Linked DNA regions of Drosophila melanogaster. The protein of the gene in region 3 purifies or fractionates together with the protein of the main gene of each other region. This does not show direct contact. Each region holds a gene or a part of one and is shown on either strand. Other genes may lie near its edges.

The links. Proteins that work in one complex are often made in the same cells at the same time.
Region 1: the proteins of eIF4B (region 3) and CG11771 purify together in Drosophila melanogaster (affinity purification with mass spectrometry, with the first as the bait; one large-scale study listed by BioGRID). This does not show direct contact.
Region 2: the proteins of eIF4B (region 3) and CG9377 purify together in Drosophila melanogaster (affinity purification with mass spectrometry, with the first as the bait; one large-scale study listed by BioGRID). This does not show direct contact.

What each region holds. Positions count from the first base shown.
Region 1 is NT_033777.3:24,928,372-24,935,419, reverse strand, and holds CG11771 (uncharacterized protein), read right to left. Parts: upstream 3,411-7,048; 5' UTR 3,288-3,410; coding exon 3,184-3,287; intron 3,127-3,183; coding exon 1,038-3,126; 3' UTR 501-1,037; downstream 1-500. Other genes in the region: Osbp (oxysterol binding protein), read left to right, coding at 1-21.
Region 2 is NT_033779.5:13,359,401-13,364,963, forward strand, and holds CG9377 (uncharacterized protein), read right to left. Parts: upstream 2,166-5,563; 5' UTR 2,084-2,165; coding exon 1,868-2,083; intron 1,394-1,867; coding exon 542-1,393; 3' UTR 501-541; downstream 1-500. Other genes in the region: Nnp-1, read right to left, coding at 4,613-5,563.
Region 3 is NT_037436.4:27,853,348-27,861,634, forward strand, and holds the start of eIF4B (eukaryotic translation initiation factor 4B), read right to left. Parts: upstream 4,925-8,287; 5' UTR 4,857-4,924; coding exon 4,844-4,856; intron 4,589-4,843; coding exon 3,437-4,588; coding exon of another isoform or gene 3,429-3,436; exon of another isoform or gene 3,361-3,428; coding exon of another isoform or gene 3,356-3,360; exon of another isoform or gene 3,019-3,355; intron 1-3,018.

The DNA of each region.
Region 1 (7,048 bases), on a different chromosome or scaffold from region 3:
GGCTGTCCGGACATATACTAGACAGCAGTAGCCAACGGAGCAGCCAAGGGAGCAACTGCAGCCACTACCACACATAGCAGCCTTAGCGAATATTCTAAAGTTTTCAGATATCCAGCCTCCACACACAACTAACACACCACAGCGGGACACGCTCCGACTGATTTCGGAGCAGCACATACGCATATTGTAGTACCACACTTTGATCTAGAGCATATTTATATATATATATATATATAAATTAATTCCTGTAAACTAACCAAGTTTAATCCATACCCCTGCGTCGAAATGTACTTTGATTATTTCTTCCTGACTACCGGTTAACCATTTCTAGTGGCTTTCCAACAGAAGGCCAAGACAGATGATAGCTCTTAATCCTCGGTTTCCATCCAAACCCCTAGATGTCTTTTTCCTTTCCGCTGAATGCATACTTCGCCTTTGTTGTGTATATAAATATATCGAACCGAATCGAGAGAACCGAGCAAGAAGCGAGAGAATATGTTAAATGTTATAAATTTATGCAATTTATTATTAAAGTATTATTTAAATAAAGCAACAACGTGTGTGTGTATGTGTGTTCAACTGGGGTAACTGACGATGTCGCCTGGCGACACCACCTGCACACCTGCGATAAGATCCCGCCTGACTCACGCGATCGCTATCACATCCGGCTGCCAATTAGGGTGTAGATCGAATTGCCGACTAATAAATCGTGGAGGCGTAAAGTATAGAATTCTTGTTTTAATAGTTACACTTCCAAAATTTATAAAGCCCTTATCAATCGTTTTTGGTTTTCAGTTTCCTGGCTGGGGTCATTCAATTACGGCTATACTTTCTTTTAAATAAGTACAAGTGGGATCTTGACCAATAAACAAATATTTAACAGAATACATTTCAAAACTATTTTAAAATATTTTCCAATACTCCAATGCTTACTTTCCTATAAGGTTGCCACTCGTCGGGCCTCCACAGGCTGCCATCGATCAGCATTTGTTGACTACACACAATAGATAACGTTTTAGCGGAACAGAGGGCGACCCTCAGTTGTTATCTGTGGTCTGGGAGGGTTCAAATATGTCCAGCGACTTTAGAAGTGCCTCGGCCGACGGGTCGCGACCCTGGAAGCGACGGAACACTTCCGCCGTGGGCACAGATCCGCCGCAGCTGAGGAAGGTCTGCTTGTAGCGCCGGCCAACGACCGCGTAGTTCTCTTCGCTTCGCTGCTCAGCAAAGCTGCTCGAAATGTCGGCGGCTATGAGGCGGGAATACAAGTGACTGAACTGGGCGGCCGCCCAATCTCCGGCAAAAATGTCGGTCAGGGAGCACGGATGTGCGTCCTTCTTGTCCAGCGGCATGCATTGATAAACCGGCCACAGCTTGCGAACCACCTCCAGCCAGAAGGCATTCGAGCGGTGCAGCTCCACGTCGAGATCCGCCAGGTAGAGGTCCTGGCACAGATTATAGCCAGCCAACTGAGTCTTCAGCAATCGCATCTTCTGTGAAAGCTCAGCCTCCAAGGGCTCACCGCTGCTAAAGTGTCCGGATAGGCTTCGAATCACTGTGGGATCGTCGAGGAAGTTGCTCATCACATGACCGGACACTTGAGAGGCATCCCACTCGATGTTTGAGAGTCCCGCCAAATCGCTGTACCCCGCTTGGGTGAGCAGGTGTTGGAGTCCGCTTCCAAAAGTCTTGAAGAGCATCTGCAGATCATCGTATCCAAGAAGCGGGGGCTTGGCATCCGGACTTTGTGGCTCCGAAAAGTTAAATATCAGCGCACAGAGAGGCGTCAGCCCGGCAGACTTATTGCTGTTCCGTATGCCCACCATCCAACCATTGTTTCTGCCGAACTTGTGCTCCTTGGAATAGCAGTCCACATAAAAGCCACCCACCGGGGTGGAGCTATTGACGGAATCAGCATCGAACACATCGTAGAACTTAACTGCCGGATGCCACACCTCCGCATTGGGCTGCTCAACTATTTTGATGCCGAAGAGCTTTTCACTCAGCGCAAACAAGCCGGAAAGAACGCGGGGCAGTGGGAAAAACTCGCGGAGCTTCTGATCTTGGAGACCGTGCTCCGCCGCCAGTTGCTTGCGCCGCCAGTAGGCAACGTCGTAGGCTTCCAGCTTGTATTCACAGCCACTGTCCTGAGCGAAGCCCTGTAGTTTCTCCAGCTCCACACTTTGAGCAGGGCCGGCGAACTTGAGAAGCTTGGCAAAGATCTGCTTAAGGTTGTCCACACTGCCCACCATTTTGGTCTGCATGGACATGTCTGCAAAGCTTTCATAGCCCAACAGATTTGCCTGTCGCTTGCGCAAACCGCGTATTTTTTCGATGTGTGTGCTGTTCTCCAGGGATTTTTCCTGCTGCGAGGATGCCTTCAGCACACTGGCCCTCCAGACGTTCCAACGCTGCATTCGCTCTGGGCAGTGCTTTAGAAAACCATCGACCACTTGAGGCTGTAGGGTTATCTTCCAAGGACCCGTCATAGGTTGTCCGGGATCGCGGGCTGTTGCCTCAAGAAGCGAAGGCGGGAAATCTCTTACAAGATTGAAGTCCGTAATAATCTGTCCAAACGAGTGCACTGCCATGTTGACCTTGTTCTTGAAGTTGGCTCTCTCTCGACCCAAATGGGTAAGCAGCTCTTTCAGTCCATCCTGCTTATCTTTGTCCAGCGTGAGCCCGTTCAGCTTGCCCTCGAGCAGGAACTTCTGTCGCATCCTCTGCTCATCTGGACCCGAATCGGACGAAGCATCCTTGAGTGCCTTATACACCGTTTGATTGCAGAACTTCGCTGCCCGAGCGTTACGCGCTCGTTCGTGGATGTTCATGTAGGATTTGGTGGGTATCAGGGTAGAATTGCCCAGGTACAGAGCCTTGGCCACACCCCATGTCGTCTCCAGTGGACCCGTCACGGTGTCCAGCTCCCGAAAGATGCTGGCGGCATTTAGCTGCTTGCCACTGTGCAGGTCGCTCTCCAGCGCCTTCACCGAGTTCTCCACCGCCGATGCCTGCTGACCAATGGCGCCCAAGCACATCTCGATGGTGATGTCACTGAAGGCGGGAAGTCCGTCCGGCTTGAGCACGCCCTCGCCTAGCGGTCCCTCCTCACCGATCTCCGGTACCCTGCGGGGATAGGTTTAGTGACTCCACATGTTGAATCCGGGTAATTTTCGTACTTACAGCACTATGTAACCCGGCCGGTTTTCCGTTGAGTGCAGCGGAGCGCTAAGCGCGGCCCGGATGAGGGGCACCGACGTTGGGCGCCTTCGTAGGAGATTTAGCATGTCCTAGGTGAAGTCGTTAATCCAGATATGTACAATTCCGGACAGTTTGCGCCGGAATTTGGGATTCTGAAATGGGGGCCAGCGTTTACACAACACGCCTGGACCAAAAAGCAAGTGACAGCGGCCAGGGTTGCCACCATCAGCGGTGGAGCCGGCAGTGATGCGAAAATCACACTTTACTGCAGTCACTGAATCCAATCTATCCTAATCTGTGACTTCTCTTTTTTTTTTTTTTTTTTTTTTTAATTTTTATTATTTATTGAATCTTCCCTTTGTGTTAAGAGACTAACAATAAGTGTTCAAATCTTAATCTAACTTAATTAACTTTCACTTAGTGATAGTTTTTTTTTTTTCATTAATGCCCTAATAAGTTTATTGCTGGGCTGGGAGGTCGTTGCGGTGCAGCCGGCTTTGACTGCATACTCGGATTAGTTTTCTTGCGAGGGGATTTGTATGGGTGGTCAGCTTTTCGTTATACTTCGTTTTTTTCTCAGCTATTACTTCGATTACTAATTTGATTTTTAGGTCTCTGTGTATGTTTTCGTTCCGAAGGTACCACGGCGCTCCAGTGATAATTCTCAGAATTCTTGACTGTGCTCGCTGAATAATGTCTATGTTACTTCTGGATGCGTTGCCCCACAGCTCGGAGCCATAAGTCCAGATAGGTTTTAAGACGGAGTTGTATAGAAGAGCTTTGAACTCCAGACTAAGTGGAGAGCGAGCATTTATGAGCCAGTGGAGGTTCCTTGCTTTAAGTTTAAGATGTTTCGATTTGGCTTCTATATGTTTGCGCCAAGTGAGCCGCCTGTCCAGATGAACTCCCAGATATGTTACCTCGTCGGCTTGTGGAATGCATATGTTATTCAAGACCAGTGGTGGGCATGTTTGTTTGTTTAAGGTAAAGGTAACCTGCTTGCATTTTTGAACATTTATTGAAATTCTCCAGTCGGCAAGCCATCGTTCTACAGATGTTAAGTGTCGGGATAGGAGTGCCGTGGCTTTTATTGGGCATTTCGAGCGACTGAGTATCGCGGTATCATCAGCGAACGTGGAGGTTGTTAGATTGTAGTCTATGGGGAAATCCGCCGTATACAGGGTGTATAAGATTGGACCCAGTACACTGCCTTGCGGCACTCCAGCTTCGATTGCGCAATCGCGTGAAGTGCTTGTATCGCATCTTATTGCAAACACTCTGTTATATAGGTATGACTTCAGTAGCTTATGTGTGTTTTGGGGCAACAGCTTGATTATTTTAAACAAAAGTCCATCGAGCCACACTCTGTCAAATGCCTGCGCGACGTCTAGAAAAATGGCTGTGCAGTATTCTCGATGTTCAAAAGCAGTACGAATTTCTGACGTGATTCGGTTGACCTGTTCGATGGTTCCATGTTTTTCTCTAAAGCCAAATTGATGTGTTGGAAGTGTGTTGTTTATTCTAAGATGAGGGCTAATCCGAAGGAGTAGCATTTTTTCAAACAGCTTTGAAAGACATGTTAGTAAGCTTATCGGTCTATATGATGATGGCTGCGTTTTATCTTTTCCTGGCTTTGGAATCATTACTATGGTCGACTTTTTCCATTTTTGAGGGAAGTATCCAAGCTTGGCGATTGCGTTGAACAACAGGCAGATGTGAAGAATAGCACACTTTGGGAGTTCAATGAGCATTCTTGGAGTTATTAGGTCGTAGCCAGGCGATTTTCTTGGGTTCAGTTGCTCTTTGATAACCTTTGCTAGTTCACATGGTCGGAATTCAAAGGGTTCTTGAGGATCTAGATTGGCTGCTATTAAAGGAGGGAGAATAAATGTGTTGGTAGAGGGATTTGGTCGGAATACATTTTGTAAATGGTCAGCGAAAGCACTGGCTCTTTCTTCATCACTTCGAAACCAGGTGCCAGAGGGACTTCGTAGTGGCATAATTGGCGCTATTGGAGTCTTTAGGTTTCTGTGAGCTCTCCAAAGAGGGTACTTAGTGCTGGTGGGAGAGAGTTGCTCGATATATGAACGTTGGCTGTTTTTTTCCTCTTGTTTGAGAGCATTGGTAAGCCTGCGTGTGGCTATCTTAAGCATGTGCTTAGTAATTGGTGATCTATTAGACTGCCAATCCCTTCGTAGGCGTCGTTTATCTAATACCAGCCGCTCGATTTCGCGATTAGTTTTGATGTAGTTTGGTTTTGCATACGTCACTGGCGGGGTTGAAGCCTTTGCAGCCGAAACTAAAATGTTTTCAAGAGTTTCCGTTGACTTGTCTATATCCTCCTTTGTAGATAATGCCGTCGTTAGTTCTATGTGTGAACAGACATACTTTTGATACCTTGGCCAGTTTGTTCTAAAATTTGTGAGTCTATACGGTGGGTCGACGATGTGGGGGCGAGTTAGCATATTTAGAAAAACAGGTGAGTGATCTGATGATAAGTCTGCTAGTGCTTCGGCGGTGACCATGTTGCGGGGGACATGTTTAGTAATTGCAAAATCGATCAGGTCTGGGATTTTTCTTGGGTCTGCTGGCCAGTATGTAGGCTTACCCGGGGATACATAGTCTAGCTTGTTTTCTGGCTTCGTAAGCGCATTGTACAATTGCTTACCCTTTGGCGACACAAGTCGAGATCCCCAATGGGTGTGCTTGGCGTTATAGTCACCCGCTGCGATGAACCTGTCACCTAGTGTGTTAAAGAATTCCATGAATTGATCCTCAGAGATTGGAAAGCGCGGTGGGCAGTAGACTGCGGCTAGAGTCGTTGAACCATTGTTGAGTTGTAAGGCTATGGACGTAGATTGTAAGTAGTTTTTGTCAAAATTGTTTAAGTGGTGGTGTTTTATGCGATTTCTGATGAGTATTCCAGTGCCTCCATGAGCTTTACCATCTGGATGATTTGTACCATAGAACAAGTATCCTGGTATATGAAAATTGTTTTTGTTTGTGAGGTGCGTTTCTGATAGTAGCATTACGTCGATGTTTTTTTCGTAAATGAACTGTGTGAGCTCTTGTGTATGCCGTGAAACGCCATTTGCGTTCCACAGAGATATCCGTAGGGAAGCCATTATGGGGATTTTGAAGATACAAGAAGTTGAATCAGGATATTTTGGTTTTTCATGAGCTCTTGCAAAGTATTTTGCATGAACGTCATGAAGTCTTTCATGCTTTGCTGTAGGGATAGCATCATAGCTTCGATGCCACTTTGTTGTGTTTGTTGGATGTTTGTCGGTGTATGTTCGGAATGAGCAGTTCTTGTCGGTGGGGCGGGCACTTCTAGTCCGGATTTTAGGGCGCTAGCGAAAGAAATTGTTGGAGTAGTGCTTGGGACAGTTAGGGGTGGTTGAAAAATCGGTTGCGGAGAGTAGAAATTGACTTTGTTGTATGTATGTGCTGTGGCAATACGTTTGTTTAGGCGGCTCTTCAATTCTTTGTACACCACACAGCCTCTGTAGTTTGCAGTATGTTTTTCCCCGCAGTTACTGCATTTCTTCACAGACTTATCGTCCTTGTTTTTGGGGCAGTTTGCGGTAGTATGAGGTTCGCTACAGACAACACATACGGACTTAAGGGTGCAGTATGCCTTGGTGTGGCCGTATTCTTGGCAATTAGTACATTGAACTGGATTGATACGTTTGTGCGGCTCCTCCACGGTGATCCTCCGATGTAGCAAGTACTGTAAATTGTATATTGGGTGCACTTCGTTTTTCTTTAGTGCCTGGAGCTCTGGTTCGAGTTCTATTTTGAATAGTGGCTGCGGAACTTTGTCTTTGTTTAAAATATTAATAGC
Region 2 (5,563 bases), on a different chromosome or scaffold from region 3:
AGCGATTCTGCTTTACCGACGAACTAAGCACCCATCGACATGGAAGCTTTATTTACGAATCCGTCCAGAAGGTAATTCTAAAACTTATTTTTTAGATTTTCCGACATCAGCAGAACATCCAAACTGATTCCCATGATGCACGCCACGCATGGAAATAATGGAAGCAGATGCTTCTTCTAAAATCTCTGAACTTATTAGGAAGAAGACAGAGTGCAGTCCACATGCACAATGTCTTCCTTGTAAGACTCTTTCCTGGAGTTTATATTGAAGCAATTGACCATCAGCAGGCAAAGAAGTTGGGTGTCCATGGAGGCCACTCAAAGTAGGAACACTACTGAAGTGACAAAGCCTTGCCGATAGTCATGGGTCAGTAGAAGTTTATTATATTACATATCTGATAATCTGATCAGGAAAGCTGGTCACGAAAGCTGCTTAAAGTCCATCGAAATGAAATATTACTACCTTATACCATAGGTAACACGAAACACATTCATGTGTTTGATAATGGATTCAATGTTTTATTAGTTTCTCAATAATTGTTTCACACCATGTAGTGTCGTATATCAAGATTGCGTTCCCTTAGCTTCAAATCGATCCACTGCCGGTACAACTTGACGTTTGTGTAAATTCCAAGAAGTTGCGGGCCATCGCAGCGAGCCGTGCGGGTCAAAAGACCGGCCAGGTGGAAACGATCATCGTGACCGGAAAGAGGACACATCAGCGGCACAGCGGTCATGTCCACATCACCGCAGACGAAGTCACCCTTGTCGCCGCCGGCACACAGCAGGCTATCGTTGTGGGCGTGGCGTCGCCCCAAGAGGGACAATCGCAACTTGGTCCTGCATTGATCGGGTGGTAGGACGTAGAGTGTCCAACGCTTGGGCAGGATTGCAGCTCTACCAAAATCACTCCTCTGCCAACCGGACACATAGCACTGGCTGTAGTTGTACATTATTCGCGGAGGCGGCAAGCAAATGGGCTGTACATTAGGAGCCAGCTGGAAAGGTTTCTCCTTGTCCACCAGAAGTATCGCTATGTTGTGGGCCAATGGCATTTGAGTGTAATTGGGATGCACTAATGTCTCAACAACCGATCTTTGCTGGTGCGGCTGGGGCTCCAGCTCCACGGCGGCATCCCATTCCCCGGCCAACAGACGAACCTTCTCCATTTCCGAATTCTGAACGCAGTGCGCGGTGGTGATCACCGCCAGCGGAGTGATAAGTGCTCCACTGCAGAGATAAGTATCCGACCCGTAGACCGCCACCAACCAGGGAAACTCCCCGAACTTGGCCTCTTGCTGTTTATATCCCAGCGGTCGAAGGTAGTACCAGAGATCATGGCGTCCTCCACACGGGCAGCTCATCATCTCCTCTGGAATTTTCGGAGTCGGGAGCTGTTGGTATAAAAGTTCGACTTTTAAAAACTTATTGATTTGATTTTACTTCAGGCAATTAAATGAAATTAAGTTAAATATAACAACAGTGTTAAGTGCTTGGCCGCTAGAAACTGAAAAACAAACGAATTTTTTTCGTAATATGGGTAAAATATATCATACAAATTTAAATTGTCAGCTAGCATAAAAAAATGGTTGATTTCTTTGCATCAGGTAGGGAATAAAAGAATTTTTTCGATAAATCGCTTTATTTTTTTGACCGGTTGTAACCAGTTAATCATTAAATGTGGCTGCAATTCAGAAAGCCAACCGGTTTAAAATCCAAAAGGTATTAAATTTAAGAGCGTCGAATCAAGGATTGTTTGTTTTTTTATTTGATTTAATTCCAATGCGATTTAAACCATTTTTTTAGTCAAGTTTTTGATACCGCATTCCGGAAAACTTTATGAAAATCGTAACTTTTTCAATACTCACTTTATCGGGGATATTACAGCACTTTTCCATATAGTGACAATTCTCATCCAAAGTCGTTCTGCTGCGATCCGGATAGAATTTTCCGTCCACCATTAAGCCCTCGTTGCACTGCTCGTAGGGAACGCAATGCTTTTCCGGTCCGCAGACTTTGGATGCCGCTATGGAGGGCACTAGGGAGCCTAGAAGACAGATGACCACAATCCGATAGAAGCACATATCCGAGGATTCCGATTCCGATTCCGTCCCTGAACAGGTGCCTTCGCCTTGCACTTGAACTGCGCAACTGGGCGACCGATGGCTTTTATAGCCTCGCCAAAGTTCAAGCCGTACACACCGATTTGATTGGGCAAAAAATAGATTGCGATCCATTAAAGTGCTAAAAATAGTCGACATTGTGCTGGGAAAAAAGGGGCTGGACCTGGACAATATGACAATTGGTTTCGGCGGCAATGCACTGAGAAAATATAATCACAGTTTATAATACATTCTAGGCCAGCAAATGGTATTTGCAGTTATTGGTTCTAGCAAAAGATAGATTTGATAGATAGTTCTGTCCTTAAAGATACTTTGTGAAGTTGTCCCTTGGAAAGGGTATCCACTCTATGCCCAATTACGCAGATGTATCTGGCACTTTCCTTAGTCTGCCGCCACTTACACGTATCCATATCTATTACATTCGAATGGGACTGAAAGTGGGGGAGGATGCGGATCAGCTGTGCACTGGCTTAGGGATTGTGTCATATCTTAATGTACAATCGTCGCCTAAGTGCACGTAAATTGAATAAAATTTCGACAAAGTTTAATACACCAGACATGCACATGCACACAACACTCTGAGGAAAATGAGGTGGCGACAAGATGGCTTGGGTTTTTCCGGGCAGAAATCTGCAGTTTGCCTGCCATTCGATAGACAACACCCAGCTTTCAGCATCTGGACAAATGTATATATATATATATATATTTGATGCACCGACTTGTTTAGCTGAGATTTACGCAACTTAAGCAGATTGTCAACAGGAATTGTGAGGTATGAGTTCGAATCGAGGACCCTGAGGTGGGCGAACAAGAATGCCAGGAGGAGAGTACATGCGTCAAATGTGTAGAAAGTTAACGTGTCCTGTGCCTGCCTGCTGGTCCTGTGCGAAACTTAATTTGTTCCATCGTGTTGCAACACTTCTGAACAGATGTTATCCTCGAGGAAATGAATCCTGTTATTGTTGCTGGCCGTCCACTTAAAACAGATTTATGAACATGTCACACCCTCTTCACTCGCCATCGATTCCCCCTTGCGGTGGCAAATATTCAATTATTATGAAAATTTATTATTCAACCAATTGTGCTGGGCGGATCGGAAGTTCATTTTGCATGAATGGGATCAAAACTGTTTGTAAATTGTGCTGTGCATCCGTATGAATCGCTTTTTATGCGCCAATAATACATATACCAACCGCAAAATGCCATCATCAAAGGATGGTTCTTATGCAATTTGCAATCACAATTTAAATAGATAAAGTATAAGCAATTGCATTAACATATTAATATATAGCATTAATCGAATCCTTGTGGTGTGAATTAAATGCCAGTCATAAAAAATTCGAATTTTAAGAAAATTTAATTGTGACTATATGAATGCTTCCATGCCAATAATACAGTTCCATATATTAAATATAATTCAGAGAATTAAACATATTAAATTAGTCTAACCACAGTAACTTTAAGCATTGATAAGTGTCACTAAAATGGCATTTAACATTTGAGTATTATTTCTGCAACTTTTTAAACTCATTCTCAGTTTTTTGTCTCAATTGAGTGTTTTGATTGAGTGGGTGTTTTTAACTCTCTTAGCTGCATATTCCTCCCTTAAATGCAGTTTTTTTTAGCTCAACTACCAATTGAGTGAATGTTAACGGAATGTTAACTGCAATCTCAAGACTCAAGCGCAGTTCTGAGTGAGTCAAATATGTGGCTTTGAGTGGAACAGACTAAGCTCATAAGAGTCATGAGCAGTATTTTGACGATTCTTTTGCCCAACCATGATATAAAATAATAATGACATATTTATTTTCAAAATGTTGGTATAATAATAAGCTATTAACTATCAAATAGCTATTGATATACATTCGTTTTCCCCATTCTCTGCTCGAAAAAATATAGTTTTGAAATTTGAAAGCTGGAATTGTTAGCCCATCAAAATGCTAAATTACTTAGTTCTTTCTGTACCTGGTAATTAAATAAACTTTGTGATTCGTATTTGATTTTACATATACTACGTTTGCTTTTATTTCAACTCAGATCAGAGGATAGCTTGAACATAAAATGGCCTACAAGCAATAGTATTTTAAGTCGTAATTGTAACTACTAAAAGATTAGGGGATTACATTTAGTACATGTCTTATACGGATTTTATTTGAGTAGAAATTAGTCAAGGCAACACGGAACTATCGTAAATTTCAACTATTCTAGAAAATTGAAATATTTAAGCATAGTAACGGTGCTCTCGAAACTAAACAAAAGGGCTTTAACATTGTAAAATAGAAAAATATAGCATGGAAACTTTCGTGTGTATAGACGTATTATAAAACCAGCATAAGACATGCCTATTGTGGATGTGTTATCTTATACTGCCTTATAAGGAAGTAGTATGATGCGAAGCGCTCCCCCTTCTTCATCGTCCCTCAGAGCACTAAGTCCAAATTAATCTTCCTCATCCTGTCCCAATCCCAGTCGCTGCCACTAGACGCTTTGTCACAGAGTGTCGTTGAACAAGCGCTTGGCCTTGTAGCTCGGATGAATCGGTCCCGGTATCCAGTGTGGCTTAAGGGCACTCTTACCGGGCAACCGATTCGCGTCGTAGGGCACCTGCGGAGACAGCTTCAGCTGGCGGTAGTAATCGCTCTTGGGGTAGATGCAGTTGCTCTTAGTCACGATCCGCACATGCTTGCCACTGCCCGTTTGTGGAGTCGCAAACTCTGCGCGCGCAGGCTGTTTGGGTGTGGACTGCGGCAGCTTACTGTTGGCCTGCTTCACTTGCAGTTTTCGAGAGGGAACAAAGATGTCCTGCTCACCGTCCTCTAAAGGGGCATCCCATCCGTTGGTCGGAGCATCATCATCAACACCGGCAGCCTTCGTTTTGGGAGTCGGCTTGGCCTTGGACTGTCCCTCCACCTTAGGTGTGGGCTTGGGCTGCTCGTCTGTCTTCGGCTTCGACTGCTCCTCCTTCGTCTTGGAGTGGTCCAATTTCTTGCGCTTCGCAGGCTCTTCTTTTTCTGCCTTCAAGGTCGGTTGATCCTCTATCTTGGGCTTGGACTGGTCATTCTTCGGCTTAAGCTGGCTTTTCTTCTTCACCTTCGTCTGGTCATCTTTGTTCTGCTGTGGCGGTTCTTCCTTTTTTGCTTTCTTCGACTTGGGCTCGGCCTCCTTGACCTCCTCTACTACCCATGCGTTGTTTATGCTAGAACGCACCTTTGCATTGTAATTCACCTTCTTCTGCAGCTCAGGAGGCAGAGCCTTGCTAATAACCTCATCGTAGTTGTGCTCGTCCACCTCCTCAAAGTTAATGGACTGCAGTAGGCGTTTGCGTTTGGATTTGTTGAGCTTCTTCAGTTTTCTTCCGGTTGCAAAGACCTCGTCCTCCATCTTATCTAAGGCAGCCACTTTTTGCTCCACCATTTCGGACAGAGTTTGTCCCTCCACCTT
Region 3 (8,287 bases):
TTTAATCGCAACAAAGTCCAGCAGGCTATGAAGGCTATCCTAACAACTCTAGCGACGAGGAAGAGATCATGGCAGGAAGCTTTATGATAGGAAACTTAATATGATAAACAAAGGTTGGATGAAAACAAAGCTAAAGTCGTACGATTTCATGTAGACCACGATGTCCTGCCAAGAGTGAAAAACGGCAGCAAACATAGCTGGACCCAAAGTTTAAGGGCCCGTTTGTGGGGATCGATATATGTATATATGTTGAGATCTTTGACAAGAGAACGTATAATTATGACCGCGAACAGTTACAGTCGATGCCTCTTGAGCTAGACGCGGCCCAATGCGAGAGATCGCTCTCTTGTAAATGCCATAGACTCTGGTTAAATCATTTACAGAGCTATTATAGCTTAGCCATATCGTTATTTGCGCAGTGACTATATGGTGGGGACTATGCGGGTCCTGAGGGACTATGACGCATGAAGATGCGTGAGAGCATTGCAAGATACACTAAAAGACAGAGTAATGGTGGAATACTGTTCGATTTAATCAGAAAAAATTAGGAAGATGTAAAATTAAAAGAGCTTGAGCAAGGCAAGGGATGCCGATGATATTGTTTACAGAAAATTGAATAGAAACATGAAATATTATGGTAAGTTAAAAACTGAATGATAAAAAAATAAAATGTTATCTTAAGTGTATGACATGTATGTCGTGTCGGAGAACATGTAGGTCTAACATATTATTTTGAATGTAACTGAAACTACATATGTTATTGTTATTAAGATTAAAGAGCGATTATTGATTAGGGAGAGTTTACAGTTATTAAGAGGGCATTTGTGGGTATACTCAAATGAGCATGGCGCCTAGTGTCGTTTGGCAGAGTTTAATGGTGACAAAAATGACGACGAAATATGAAAAAAAGTGACAGAGCAATTCTCACGTAAGTTAGTCTAGTGAGAACGATTGAACAGACAACGCGCAAGCTACTTGCTGTGCCACTTAACATAGACAGTGAAGACGAAGAAGCAAATATCCGTCAAATTATAATACATTTATATTATATTTATACATACATACCAAACACCAAACTAACAGAACAAAACTAAACAAATTTTGCAACGTTTTAAAATTTTTGTTTTTAAATTATCAGTGAAACTTAAGTAATAAAAGATGGTATTAATAAAAAAAAAACGGTTAGGATAGTTCATTTGCTTATTTAAAGAAAAATGATTAAAAATATAAATGTGAAATAGGAAAAAAAAATTACCCGGTCATAAAGTAATAGTAAATAATAGTAGTTAATATTTTAAAAATTATTACAGCCAGAATATAGTTTCAGGACTGAATGAATGATTAAATAAGGGCATATTTATGGTTATTGTAGTATTTTGTTCCATATCCTTAGTTTTTATTTAAGGTCGCACAGCTCCATTACATCCGGGCTCCAGATTTACATCTTGCAAAATTTAAAAGTTATCACTTGCTTTTATGACCGAGACTTCTCCCAGCGCAACACATTAGGCCACTCCATGACATAGACTGGATTAGCTACGAAGCACTATTTGGGAAGTGTACTTGTATATTTTTGGTCATTGTATTGTTAAAACGTCCTCTAATGCATATGGGAGCATCACCTTCTTAAATGTTTCGACGTATAGATAACGATCAGTGATGGTTTTGATCCTATAAGTCACCTAAAATACTAACTTGAGTCACTGCCGTCAAAACAAAAATATTTTCGCCTTAACCGACCCCAAGATTTTACTCCTCTGCACCAATTCAAGCGATCTCACGCAAACCTAAATCATTAGGCTTCATGTTTTTTTCTGAGTAATGCCGCTTTTTTTTTTTGGCCTCTTGAAATGAGGATCTGGATCGAGTCGTCTTCTAATTACTAATAAACTTACATTTTTCGAAGAAACAGACCCGAAAGTCGGAATCCTAGATTGTCCTCCTAAGCAACGATCTCACCTTTTGGTCAATAACTGCTAAGTTACTAAAGTGAAAAAATTTAATTAATTAAGTAAAGGAATGGAGAAAATAATGAGAAATAACTTTTTGCTTGACCGGCTTTAGTATTATTTAGACCGCACCCGTGCATACATATTGTATATACAGGGTGCGGCAGCAAAACTTCCTTTTTTAAATGCGCGCCATTCAGTTAGTTGATGTCATAGCGGAGCACTAATGGCCCCGTTCAAGAGGGGCTACTGCAAAGCTTTGTCCCGACACGGTTCAGTCGCCATCTTGCGTTGGAATAGTGAGGAGCGCGCCTTTGCCGTTGTGGCCTACTTTTCAAGCGGATGTTCGGTTATTAAAACACAGCGTGCATTTCGGTATCGCTTTAATTTAGCACTGTTGGCTCCTGTCCCTGAACGCAAATCAATTGTTACATGGGTCACTACATTCAGGCAAACTGCAAGCGCGACAAAACGAAGAACTGGAGTCCCTCGACCCGTTAGATCACCTGAGAACATTGAAGCAGTGAGAGCGCCAATATTGCGATCTCCACAGCGTTCTGCGCTCAAACACGCGTCTGACCTTTGACTATGACTATCCGATCGTTCTGGGAGAAGAATTCTTTATGATGACCTTAAATTCCATCGGTATGAGATGGCGATAGTGCAGGAATTTCACAACGTGTTTATGTGAACCGTCCAAGAACGCTAAAAGAGTTGAAAACCATCATCATCATAACACCTGCTATGCTAACAAGAGTCACGACAAACGCCAGAAATCGGTTTACGCAATGTATGGAGAATGGGGGACGTCACCTATCAGATTTCATCTTCAAAAAAATATAAATAAAAACTTTGGAACTACATTTACATTTACCTAAATTATAAAAATAAATAATTATTTTCCGATGCCCACAATAGTTTATATTGAGTTCTGAAAGAAGGAAATTATGCTGCCTGTAGCATATCAAAAATTTAATATGGAGAACACACATTATATACAATACATATGTATCTGAAGTGCACATTACTAATATTAAGTATTATATATGAAAATACCAACTATTTGAATAATTTTGTGCAACTCGAATTTTATTAATAGAATAATACAAGTTAATTATGATTTTTTTTTAAATAAAATATTTCCAGCTTGAAAATCGTGTTCTCGCATAAGTAAGCCCGCATACAGTATTTTTTGTGGTTTGGGTTTTAAGCAATGGTATAATTTACAGACATCGCATTTTTTGTCGGCACCCAAAAAGTAGGTGCACGGTGAAAACCAAATATATAGGAGATACGTTATTGATTATTTGCCAAATTACGGCTTCTCCCACATTTTCGAAAAATGTTAATTTGTTGTATTTTATGTGGCGTTGTATATTTCCTCCTCCTCTGATTATTTATTATTATTATGCTTTTTGATTAGATTAAAAACTCAAGTCAGATAAAATTCACTTCTACATTCAGACAAATATTTAGATTTTAGTTACCTGGACACTTATTAATTTTGTCGCTTTCCTTGTAGTCCTGATTCGTGCGCCAACTAACTGTTGCACTTAGACTTTCATTATCATTTTTATCCACCTGGAGCTCGGCAAGTTTTTCATTTAAACCCTGTTCTCTGCGCCCCTTATCCTGTTTTCGAGCGAGAGCCAATCTTTGCTCAATCTCCAACTCCCTTGCTGCTGTATCTACCGGTTTTGCAGACCCAAACACGTTTAATGATGAAGTTCCGCCTTGTTTATCCAAATTAAATTCATCAACGTCACATTTTTCGAATTCAATTGTCTTTACATCTGGCAATGGTAAAGTTCTTGGTTTTAAATTCAATTTTGGCCTTTCTTCTTCAACTTTGGATGTCTCTTCTCGGGAATATCTGTCTGCTATTTTGACTCGACCTTCGCGATATTTTTCAGATACTTGTTCAACTTCTCTGCGTGTAGGGGAAGTATCAATAGATTGCGGCCTTGCGCTCGTGCGCCAAGATCCAGGAGTGTTCACATCATCTCTATCTGGTAAAGATTTTCTCTCTCTATTAAAGCTTCTTTCAAAATTGGAAGAATAACCAAAGTTACTGCCGTTGTTTTGGCTGTCTCGCCTCCAATTTCCGGAATCCCTATTATCTCCATTATTTCCAAAACCATCAAACCGCCTATTACTTTTTTGGCGGCTTTGCTGGTCGTTTTCATTCGATAGCTCAATGCGAATGCGGCGACCTTTAATAGAGGGGTCTGGCAAGCTAAGTACATGAATTAAATCCTCTCGATTTTCCAACTCCACATAGCCAAAGCCTCTGGAACGACCATTTTCGCCATCTTCTCTTGGTAGTCTCAGAGATATTAAATTAATACCTTCAAAGAACTCGTAGAGGTCATCTTCATTTGCGTCAAATGGTAAATTATTGATATAAGCAATAAATGGGGCTTTATGAGGAATAGAATTATCGTCGAATATCCGATTTGCCCTCGGAGCGGTTGGAAGCTGATAAACCAACGGCAATGTACCACTTCCATCATCGCTATCATCGCCATCTAAATTTCGTATTTTTTTTGAGACTTGGGTTGTTCCGACTGGAGCGTCAGAATTACATAGAAATGATTGCAAGGAGATAACTGTTCCTTTATTCTTTTTGCCCTTCTTTCCTGAAAAATAAAATAAAATATTAAATTGAAATACATACTTAAGTAGAAATGATGACCAACCAATATATACAATAAAATATTATGTTAAGCAAGATTACACATATGCATGCAGGTGGACATGTGTTCCTTTTACATTACGTGTCAAGAAAAAATCCATGCGGAACCACACAATCTCACAATTAAATTACTACCTTTTTACAATTAATAAAAAAAATTTAAACTTTAAACTTAGATATTATAAAAAAAATTTCTAACCTGCGGACGCCATTTCAACCAATGTTTCCAATCTTTAATTTTGATAATTTACCGAATTCACAAAAATAGAGAAATCAATTTTCCTATATCGTTATCGATATTTATTTCGGGCTTAACTGCACTATTTTGACAACTGGTAATACCCAAAACCCAAAGAGCACATCCTAAAGAAACAGTTGGAAATTTTGACATATGTGAAAATCCGATACTTAGAATAAAATTGAATATTCCAGTAAAGTTTGATGACTTTTCTGTTTTTATTTTAAGCTCAAATATTAAGACACAATTTACTATGTATGTATATGTTTTAATCAAAGTTACTTGTCGCTCTCTTTCAAATTCGTTCATTTTTGTATGCTTTTTATGGCTAACATTGACTATGTACCGTAGTACGGAAATGTTTTCTAAATATGAATAGTAAAAAAATTTGTTTATTTGAACCTTAGTGTTAATATTTTTTTTCTAAATATGAAACAAATTTTAATACATACAATATAAAATAAAATTGTATCATGTAAATTCTTAGCACGATAAATTACTTAGTTTTGTTTTCAAATATAGTTAATAATAGCCTACTCGCTGCACAAGGCAGCTTTGTTGGAATGTAGGAATATAGAGTTCTTTAACAAAAAGCCAAAATTAATTTCCATGATTATGTGGAGCAATTAGTTCGTTTCAACAATTGTAGTACAGCTTACAATGATTTTCTTTTAATAGGGCCTGAGTGGTGTAAACTCCTGCATTTGACAATATATTATGAGCCTAATCATAATCTAACTTGCAGTCTAAGCTGGCGATGTTCCTTATTCCACTTTCCATTTTTTGCGACCCAGTGGAAAGTTCGGAAGAGTTTGTGAGAAATAATTGTTGTGTAGTGATATTTTATCCACATAACAAGAAAAAAGGTTGTTTCCATAACATAAACGCGTGCATGGTTTTCAATAAATTACAATGTACTATATGTATATACCCGTTACTCCTAGAGTAAAATGGTGTATTAGATTTGTTGAAAAGTAAGAAAAAACGTATCTTACGATTTCGATTTGCAATCGAAAAATCGGTGCTGAGGTTTTTGAAATGATAACAATTTTTCGATTTGTAAAACCGGCACTTTTGTCTGGCCGAAATGAAAAGTAAATATCTTTTTTATATCAAAAAATATAAAAATAGTTTACTCAGTAGTCTTTTGATGTTTATTCCACATCACCATAATATCATTCTCCCACTTAGTTATGTTATTAAAAATTTATTTCTGACCCCACCTCAAATTTTACAAACAAAATTTAGTAGCCTGTATATTCTTAATCAGGATCAATAGCCGAGTCGATCTGGCCATGTCCGTCTGTCTGTCTGTCCACTGTATCAACAACGGGATCTCTCAACTATAGAAGCTAAAGAGTTGAGATAAAGTATACAGGTTCCACAGACATAGAGCCCACTCTAACGCCCACTAACGTCCCAAAACTGACACGCTCTCACTTTTAAGCAATATACATATATAACAATAATATATCGAAATTCCAGAAAAATTATGACATTTCGCGTTCGCAGTCCCAGTACATAAGTAACGGGTATCTGATACTCGGAGAACTCGACTATTGAATTCTCTCTTCTTTTATATTATTAATTTAATTAATTAATTAATTAATTTATATTAATTAATTGTATTAATTATTCCCAATACAGATTTTTGTCTTTCGTCTATCATAGTATAAATAAGCAAAATAAACCAACACGGCTACTGATCAATTTATATACTTCTAGTTGAATAAAATATAAAAAGAGAATGCTTACAGAAGCATTTATGGGAATGCATCCAGAATTCCGGAATAATTCCACTTCCAATGTATTACAACAAGTTACCTTTAATGATTGCTTCTATATTGTTGATTGTAAAATGAATTCATTTCCTGAAAATTATACTCGAAAATAAAGTATCTTAAAGTACGTTCGTTGAAAGTATGTAACAGGCAGAAGTACGCGTTTCCGACCATATAAAGTACATTTGTACATTCTTGATGAGGATCAATAGCCGAGTCGATATGGCCATGTCCGACTGTCCGTAGAACGTCGAGATCTCAGGAACTATAAAAGCTAGAAAGTTTGCGATTCAGCATACAGTTTCTGGAGATATAAACGAAGCGAAAGTTTGTCGACACATTTTGCCACGCCCACTCTAACAACCGCACAAACCGCCCAAAACTGCCACACCTACATTTTTGAAATTTTTTTTTGATATTTTTTTCATAATTTTATTAGCTGTGTAAATTTTTATCGACCTGCCAAAAAACTTTACCGCGCCCACATTTTTGAACCATTTTTGGATATTTTTCATAGTTTTATAAGTCGTGTAAATTTCTATCGATTTTTAATTTTTTCTCATTTTATACCCCATATCGATATCCCAGAAAAATTATGAAATTTTGCTTTCGCATTCACACCAGCTAAGTAGCGAGTTGGGAAAGTCGGGGAACTCGACTATAGCATTCTTTCTTGTTCTGACTCAGTACTTACGATAAGCAAATGGTAAAGCGAAAACAAGCAGAAAAACTAGCGCAAGCATTTTTGTTGTTGCGTTTCTCTTACCTGCATTTTCAATTTTGAATCGTTAGGTTCGTCAGTATTTTCTTGTGTCTCCAAAATATTTTCTGAGTGCTTTTAAATTTGTCTTTTTATTATGGAAGTAAGTATCGTTTTATTAATAAACTGTACAAATATTACATTTTATTTTTTTTATTTTCTACTTTATTGTTATACCCGTTATTCGTAGAATAAAGTGGTACACTAGGTTCGTTGAAATGTATGAAAAAGGTAGAAGGAAGCGTTCCCGACCTTATAAAGAATATATATTTCTGATCGGGATCAATAGCCGAGTCGATCTGACCCTGTCCGTCTGTCTGTCCGTTCATATGAACGTCGAGATCTCATAAACTATAATCAAAGCTAGAAGAAAGCTGAGAATAAGCATACAGATTCTAGTGACAAAGTCACACTACCGCTCTTGTTAATTTCCACTCTAACGCCCACAAACTGCCCAAAATTGCCACGCCCACATTTTTGCAAAATTTGAAATTCTTTCATATACATATTAGACTTAAAAGTTTCTATCGATCTGCCAAAAAACGTTTTGCTGCATTCACTTTAACGCCTACAAGCCCCCCAAGCCATGCCCACACTTTTGAACAATTTTTGTTTATTTGACTTGGGAAAACTTTAGAAACACTCAATATAATTTTATGTTAGCCGGATTTCAGATCGAGGGTCGTAAAGTATTTGGTCTTGCCAATATGGGCATCCTCATCAATTGAAAAGCTGATTACATCATTAACATAGACGTAACTGAAATGGAAGTCAACGGAACTCATACTTGTGTCGCGTTCGCAATCGTCGATCGAGATATTATGGTAGCCGGACTTCAGATTGAGCGTCGTAAAGTGTTTGGTC